Linked DNA regions of Sus scrofa. Each later gene encodes a partner of the first gene's protein in a complex. Links are inferred from orthologs where the notes say so. Each region holds a gene or a part of one and is shown in the gene's direction. Other genes may lie near its edges.

Region 1 (3,815 bases):
GGGACACTCGCTCAGGAGTTTGATAAACTGCCCAGAGGCTTAGAGCTTTCCCTTTTAAGTCCATTCAAATACCTCACCTCTCGTTAACTGCCAGCGACCTTGGGACGCCTTCAGTAGATGCCACTTTAAGGAACATAGCCTGATGCATGAACATGGGATTTAAGAGTCAGGCTGGGAGTGAGCCTGACTTGACCTGGTGAGGCCTGCAAGCTGCGAAGGATGACCCAGGTGGGGGCTGGGCAGGGAGGAGGCAGGAAATGGGGAGGAGAAAAACAGCCTGGACAGTGAAAGCAGCTTGTGCAGAACTGAGCAAAGGAGAGGTGTTTTTGTCTGATGATCACTAATGGTCACTCTTAGCAGTTCTGCAGATCAGAGTAGCTGTGTTTCTGGCATCACATGAAGATACTAAGGCTTCTAGAAATAGTGTTAATTAAACCCTTGCTGAGCTGCAGGTGTAGTTACCCATTCTTTGTGGAGCTCATGATCTGATAGCTCATGTGGGTAAAGAGCCACTGCTTTTGGCTTCCTTCTTTGAAGTGAGCCCTGGCAGTGCTTTGTGCTGGTATCTGATGTCACCCGGAGGAGAAGGAATGTAGCAGCTAATTTCTTTTCTCTGCCTTGGTAAACTCAAGTGACTTGTGTCCTGGGAAGCCTTGCTCTTCTCAAAAACATCCGGTCAAAGGTTCACCCTCACTTTTTTTCCTTCCTGCAAGATTTTCTGCTTGTAGAATAGGTGTGTAAATCAGGAAATTGATAACAATGATCAGAACAAAACAAAAAACCACTCTTGGTATTTTTTTCATTTTAGAAAACTTCATGTTTTAAATGTATCTCTGTTGATTCAACTTCTGGGTAGGCTTTTCTGTACTCTAACCACAGCTCACCTCTTCTTTTTTCTTCTTAGAAATTACGAACTTGCATGGAGAAAGTTGACCAAAAAGCTCCTGAATACATCAGGATGGCAGCATCATTAAAGTAAGTAGTTCTTCTCTGTCATTCTAATTCAATGGTGACTGTTTTCTCGCACTTTAGGTCAGTTTTTAGTAGTGAAAATAAAATTCCTAACTCTGGGCCCAACCAGAGAGTCTTCGTTGAGTTTGTATTGCTATGGCCCACATCACAGTCCTGTGTAGTCATGTTCAGATGACCCCACCTATCCTGACTGAGCATGTTTGTGAAAGGCCTCTGGTGAAGGCACCACTGTGAATGAAGTACAGTATCCAAGGGTGAACAAGACCAGTCTGCCTCATGCTCAAGCCTGGGTAGATGCCACTCCAGGTAACATTGAGGTGTCAGGCATTTCCTTTAGGGCAAGATTTGGCAAACTTTGGCCCATGGGCCATATTTAGCCTGCCATTTCTCTCTCTCTTTCTCTCTCTCTCTTTTTTTTTTTTTTTTTTTTTTTTTGACTACACCCCTGGCATATGAAAATTCCTAGGGCCTGGGATTGAATCTGAGTCACAGGTACAATTACATCACAGCTGTGGCAGTGCCAGGTCCTTAACCCACTGCACCACAGCGGGAACTCTGCCATCTCTTTCTTTTAAAATTAAGATTTAACTCATAAATTTCATTCCTTTAAAGTGTACAGTTCAGGAGTTCCTGCAGTGGTGCAGTGGGTTAAGGATCTGGTGTTGTCTCTCAGGTGGTATGGGTTGATCCCGGGCCTGGCACAATGGATTAAGGATCTGGCATTGCTGCAGCTGTGACATAGGCTGCAGCTATGGCTGGGATTCAGTCGCTGGCCCAGGAACTTCCATATACCACAGATGCAGCAAAAAAAATATAAAGCATACAGGTCAGTGGTTTTAGTACAACCATCACGTCACATTTAGTACATACAACATTCACAGAGTTTTCCAACCACCAATGCTATCTTAATTCTCCCCGGCCCGGTGCAGTGCATTAAGGTTGATGTGATTGAGACCAGGGTGATGATTGCAGATTTGTGCCAACCTTGTTATTTTCCACATGACTTGGTGATGTCAGGAAAAGTGCAGGCCTTCTCAGTTCTCGTCTGATGTTCTTTTTGTAAACTGTGCAGTTGAAATGATGGGAGTTCCTATCTTGGCACAGTGGAAACGAATCCAACTAGGAACCATGAGGCTGCGAGTTTGATCCCTGGCCTTGCTTAGTGGGTTAAGGATCCAGGGTTGAGGCTCGGATCTAGTGTTGCTGTGGCTCTGGTGTAGACCAGTAGCCTGGGAACCTCCATATGCCATGGGTACGGCCCTAAAAAGACAAAAAAAAAAAAAGAAAGAAATGATGAAACAACTTTACTGAATCCTTAGATTGCAATGCATATCTAGATTTTTCCAGCTACCACTGCCTTATAGATGGGAAAACAGGTAAACAGGGCAGTTTTTTTCTGCTTATTGAACTTAAATTGCTGTTGCCTCAGGGAGTTAAGGGGCCATTGCTGAGGCTGGGTTAATAGCTGAGAGATGGTCTGAAATGTTTCTCTCTCAGTAGATACTGATTAAACTTGTCCCTTGTGCTAATTACTAGGGATAAAAAAATGAAAAATCGGGAGTTCCCGTCATGGCGCAGTGGTTAACGAATCCAACTAGGAACCATGAGGTTGTGGGTTCGATCCCTGCCCTTGCTCAATGGGTTAACGATCTGGTGTTGTCGTGAGCTGTGGTGTAGGTCGCAGATGTGGCTCGGATCCTGCATTGCTGTGGCTGTGGCATAGGCTGGCAGCTACAGCTCCGATTGGACCCCTAGCCTAGGAACCTCCATATGCCAAGGGAGCGGCCCAAGAAATGGCAAAAAGACAAAAAAAAAAAAAGAAAGAAAAGAAAAATCATTGTCCCTGCACTTGAAATTCAACAGCCTAGTGGCAGTGGCAGACTTGTAAATGACTCCTTCTCTGTGGTAACTGCCCTACTCCTCTGGCCTTCCGGGTGTCCCCTCCTCCACCCTGGGCAGAACTGTACCCTGTCACCTCCTTTTTTGAGTTGGAGTCCAGGTGCTTTTCTCACACAGGGAGCAGTTGTCCATAAGACCCGGAGCAGGGGCTACTGACACAGTGCCATGTGGGCTGTGGCCTGGAGTCCTTGGTCAGCTTTCCTGTTGTTCCTCTGCTCCCTGAGTAGTCTTTGAGTGAGAAAATCAGCGTGCCTTCTCCTCTGATGTAGTGTAACCAGCTCATTCAGTAAACTGCTTCATTCATCTTATTAGATGCGCTGAAATTATTCAGAGGAAGTAGGCTGAAGTAGATTCTGTCACATTTATTTTGGCGACCAGCTTAGGAGCTGGTCCTCATAGGCCTTGGCACTAGTGTGTCCCTGCAATATCTGCAAATTAAAAGCAGCTTCCTGTTGATTGCCAGTTATAATATTCTGAGAAGGAATGAGCACACATTCCACACAGGTTCTTTTGGAGAGAATTAACCATCTCCCCCTTTGTGAGGTCTTAAACCTGTAGAGTTCTTTTACACCGCACTCTCCATTCAGTGCCATGAAACTTAGAGCAAACATCTCTGTGATTTCTCCCTAGTGCTGGAGAGACAACCTACAGCCTGGAACATGCCAATGACCTTCGAGTGGAAGTGCAGAAAGTCTATGAGCTAATAGATGCTCTGAGGTAAGGTCTGTTGTCAGGTGTTGTTTTACCTGCTGCTTTGAATGGAAGAGGTGCTGTTTTCCTGAGGTGGCGGGTGACCAGCAGACCTGAGCTTCCCCAGTCCTGGTGACAGCAGGTCTGTGTGAGAAGGAGGCTAAGGAGCTGCCAGCTTTGGCCCTCAGTGCGTCTCAGTAACTTGGTTAAGGATTTCTAATGTTCGTTATTATTAAAGGAATGGGAGCTGGTTG
Region 2 (3,815 bases), on another chromosome or scaffold:
AGAGTAGTTTTCAAACTTTTAGTATCAAAAGAAATTGTCCCCTTAGCAGTTTGAAAAGGCACTGGCTCAGCATGGAAACCAAATGCTGAAAAGGTAAAAAGGTAAGTCCGTGTGTTTATTGCCTTTTTCACAAAATCTTGTTACCTCTTTTTTTCTGTTATATTAACAACCAAGATTTCATTAAATGTTACAGTTGTAGACTACGTTCACAGCACCTGTTTTAAAGTTCTTTTTCATGGTCTCTTTTTGTTTTTCAGATTTTTTGTTTAAATTCTTGGTTATTGGAAATGCAGGAACTGGCAAGTCTTGCTTGCTTCATCAGTTTATTGAGAAAAAATGTAAGTGATGTCACATGGTGTTCTCAATTTCTTCTGAGAGTGCTTCTGCTCAAATTTGTTGACAGCAAAACTTCCAAATAAGTTTTCAGGAAAAAAAGTTTGTGGCTTAAAAATATTTTTAAATGACGTTAAAAGTTCATGCTATTAAACTTCTAGTAATGTGGTTTTTATTTAGCATTTTAGTTTTATAGTAGTTCATTGTTCATTATGTAGTGAATTGTCCTGTACATTTTCTAGATACTAAGATACAATATGATGATGTGGAAAACAGCAGAGGAATTCCATTTCCTGACAGGAGGTGGCCCAAGAACCCTAGTTGCACATTTTGGATAAATAACATTTGGTCCTCAGTGGCCTTGTACTGTCATTAAGGCAGTATTGTCATCAGTTCAGTTTTACAGGTAAAGAAACAGAGGTTTAGAGGAGTTAGTGTGCATGCTCTAGAGTGGTCACCTAGTAATTGCTTAGAAATAAACCTGGGCCTTTGAGCACAGAAAATATCTCTTGTCCTTGACCTACATGTTTTGGTAAGGGAGGTTGAATTCTGTATTCCAGGCTACTGTAAAAGATGGTATGATTGTAAGGCCCTCAAAATAATGCTTTATACTGATGGAAAGAATTGTGGAGAATGGCCTGTTTGGTAGCGGTAGGGGTAGGCAGGTGAGAGCCTGAAAACAGAATTAATTTAATTTAATGAAGTGCATAAGATACAGTAAGTAGTGGGTAAAATGGGGAAAGAGGCAGCACAGAGTGTCTTGGGAAAGAGCTTTGAAGAACCGTAGTCTAGAAATGTATCCTTCTGCCTCCACATTCATCAACCCAGAGCTCAAACCCCTGTGTGGGACAGGAACCCAGTGTGGCTTGTCAGGGAGCCAGGCCTTATGAATTTAACCAGCATCCATTTACTGGGCGGTCAAGCTTCTTTACAAGTTACCAGGCTTTGCACTGTTCTGTCTCAGAAAAGACTGCTCAGGAACATCAGGTCAGGGGCCCAGCCTCTGTGGAGAAGGCTCCCCCCCGCCGCCCCCCCCAGATCCTCCCTAACTCCACAGGACCACAGTCAGGAGGAAATAGGTTTCACTTTATTTCTGTTGTAGCCATGTCTTAATCAGGATGTCCTTGGCCTTTAGGGTCACCCTCTGAAGGCTTGCCCAGGAGCTGAATCCTAGCCAGGTATCCACACTCAGTCTGCACTGTCTGGGCTGAGACAGCTGCCAGTGCCAGTACTAATAACCTTTCACCCTCTCATCCCCAGGAAGCAGTAAACACTGCTGTTAAGAAGCATCTCTGATTTCTGGTACAATTAAATTTTATCCTATGGTTATAAAATATAAACCAGTCAATGAACTGTAGAGCCATGAAATGTATTTTTAACTTATCCTTCCAACATCTCAGAAATTTTCTTTTATAGCTAGCTTATTCCAGTTGGGTGGAGCAGACTACTTATTTTGCCTGCCTCCCTGCCCATTCACAAAGTATTGATTTCTCCAACAAATTTCATTCCAAATTATCACCCTACAATACTAAAATTCATGACAACTCAACAGCTATAATATGATAGAGTTTTTGGTTTGGAGTTTGTTTTGGATTTTTTTTTTTTCTTTTCCTTTTTAGGACCGCACCCGAGGCATAGGGAAGTTCCAGGTCACAGGTCTCATCAGAGCTGTAGCTTCTGGCCTACACCACAGCCACAGCATTGCCAGATCCGAGCCACATCTGCAACCTACACCACAGCTCACGGCAACGCGAGATCCTTAACCCACTGAACAAGGCCAGGGATTGAACCTGCAACCTCATGGTTCCTAGGCGGATTCATTTCTGCTGCGCCACAACGGGAACTCCAGATTTTTTTTTAACTCTATTTTTTCCCCGATTTTCCTTCACCTTTTGTGTCCATCAAGCTTCTTTCTTGGGCTACAGTGCTTTTCCCTCCCTTTGCTTTTATTTGTTTAGAATATTTATCCAGGAGTTCCCGTCGTGGCGCAGTGGTTGGCGAATTCGACTAGGAACCATGAGGTTGTGGGTTCGGTCCCTGCCCTTGCTCAGTGGGTTAACGATCTGGCGTTGCCGTGAGCTGTGGTGTGGGTTGCAGACGCGGCTCGGATCCCGCGTTGCTGTGGCTCTGGCGTGGCCGGTGGCTGCAGCTCCGGTTCGACCCCTGGCCTGGGGGCCTCCATGTGCCGTGGAGCGGCCCAAGAAATAGCAACAACCAAAAGACAAAAGAAAAAAAAAAATAGAATATTTATCCAAATAGTTGAAACTATCATTGGCAAAGTTGTAGAACTGTCACCAGGTGGTAAGCCCTTCAAGATGGCACCCTGTATTTTATTCATTTACCACTTATGAGAACCTTAGCAGTGTCCGGTAGGTACCATCTCATGGTGTGGTTCCCCTTCAAGCCTCAGTTTTAAAACATAATGGTCGTGGAGTTCTCATCGTGGCTCAGTAGAAACCAATCTGACTAGTATCTATGAGGACGCGGTTTGATTCCTGGCCTCATTCAGTGGGTTGAGGATCCAGCATCGCCATGAGCTGTGGTGTAGGTCTCAGACTCCGCTGGGATCTGGCATTGCTGTGACTGGCGTAGGCCAGCAGCTGCGGCTCTGTTTCAACCCCTAGCCTGGGAACCTCCATATGCTGCAGGTGTGGCCCTAAAAAGACCAAAAAAAATGGATTGTTTAGAGGTTTTGAGAAAAAGTTGTATTGTGTCTTTGAGAATAGGAACTGTGTGTGTTCGTTTAAAACAATGAGTGCTTATTATCATCTGACTGTTGGAAAATGAATGATAAAGAAAATTGCATTTTCCATTGACTTAATTATTGATTTTAATGTTACTTCTCTAAATCTATAAACCTGTTTCCTTAACATTCTAAACTTAAATTTCTTTTTCTTTTTCAGTCAAAGATGACTCAAATCATACAATAGGAGTGGAATTTGGTTCAAAGATAATAAATGTTGGTGGTAAATATGTAAAGTTACAGATATGGGACACAGCAGGCCAAGAACGATTCAGGTAGCTTTTTCTCTAACATAATAAAAATATTTGAAAATTGGATTTGAAATAACTATATTCTTAATACATAATTGTTCCCTCCTCCCCCACACAGATTTCAGAAACCTCACCTCTGGAAGCTTTAAGACAAGCTAAAAGTCAGGTTTTTCTCCATGCAGCAGTAATTTACAAAAGAATTAGAAACTCTTCTGAGTAAATGCATCCTAATTTAGAAGCTGACTTACTCTCTGGGACCAGTGAGTTCCTTAGGAGAGTGTGGCATTGTGTATTCCACAATCAAGACAAAGTAGGAGCACAAATAATTTTTCTCTTAAATCACTTTAGAAGGAGAATGTGTTTTTTTGTTTGCTTTGTTTTGTTTTGTTTTTGTCTTTTGCCTTTTCTAGGGCCGTTTCCCATGGCATATGGAGGTTCCCAGGCTAGGGGTTGAATCGGAGCTGTAGCCACTGGCCTACATCAGAGCC

Evidence for each region.
Region 2: the proteins of RBSN (region 1) and RAB4A are in contact, whole or in part, in a crystal structure (PDB 1Z0K), measured with the Homo sapiens proteins. The link is inferred for Sus scrofa from reciprocal best matches to the Homo sapiens genes RBSN and RAB4A. Residues at the interface, in NP_001289307.1 of Homo sapiens: Glu441, Gly442, Trp443, Leu444, Pro445, Ser447, Glu454, Pro458, Leu459, Gln461, Gln462, Asn465, Ile466, Phe469, Asp480, Glu481, Thr484, Leu485, Asn488, Leu492, Glu495, Gln499; in NP_004569.2 of Homo sapiens: Tyr10, Leu30, His31, Ile34, Glu35, Ile46, Gly47, Val48, Glu49, Phe50, Gly51, Ser52, Lys53, Lys63, Gln65, Trp67, Arg74, Phe75, Ser77, Val78, Ser81, Tyr82.

Annotation. Positions count from the first base shown.
Region 1 is NC_010455.5:69,420,889-69,424,703, forward strand, and holds part of RBSN (rabenosyn-5), read left to right. Parts: intron 1-904; coding exon 905-975; intron 976-3,501; coding exon 3,502-3,588; intron 3,589-3,815. UniProt on the Homo sapiens protein: Rab4/Rab5 effector protein acting in early endocytic membrane fusion and membrane trafficking of recycling endosomes. Required for endosome fusion either homotypically or with clathrin coated vesicles.
Region 2 is NC_010456.5:60,500,826-60,504,640, reverse strand, and holds part of RAB4A (ras-related protein Rab-4A), read left to right. Parts: intron 1-257; coding exon 258-338; intron 339-3,236; coding exon 3,237-3,351; intron 3,352-3,815. UniProt on the Homo sapiens protein: The small GTPases Rab are key regulators of intracellular membrane trafficking, from the formation of transport vesicles to their fusion with membranes.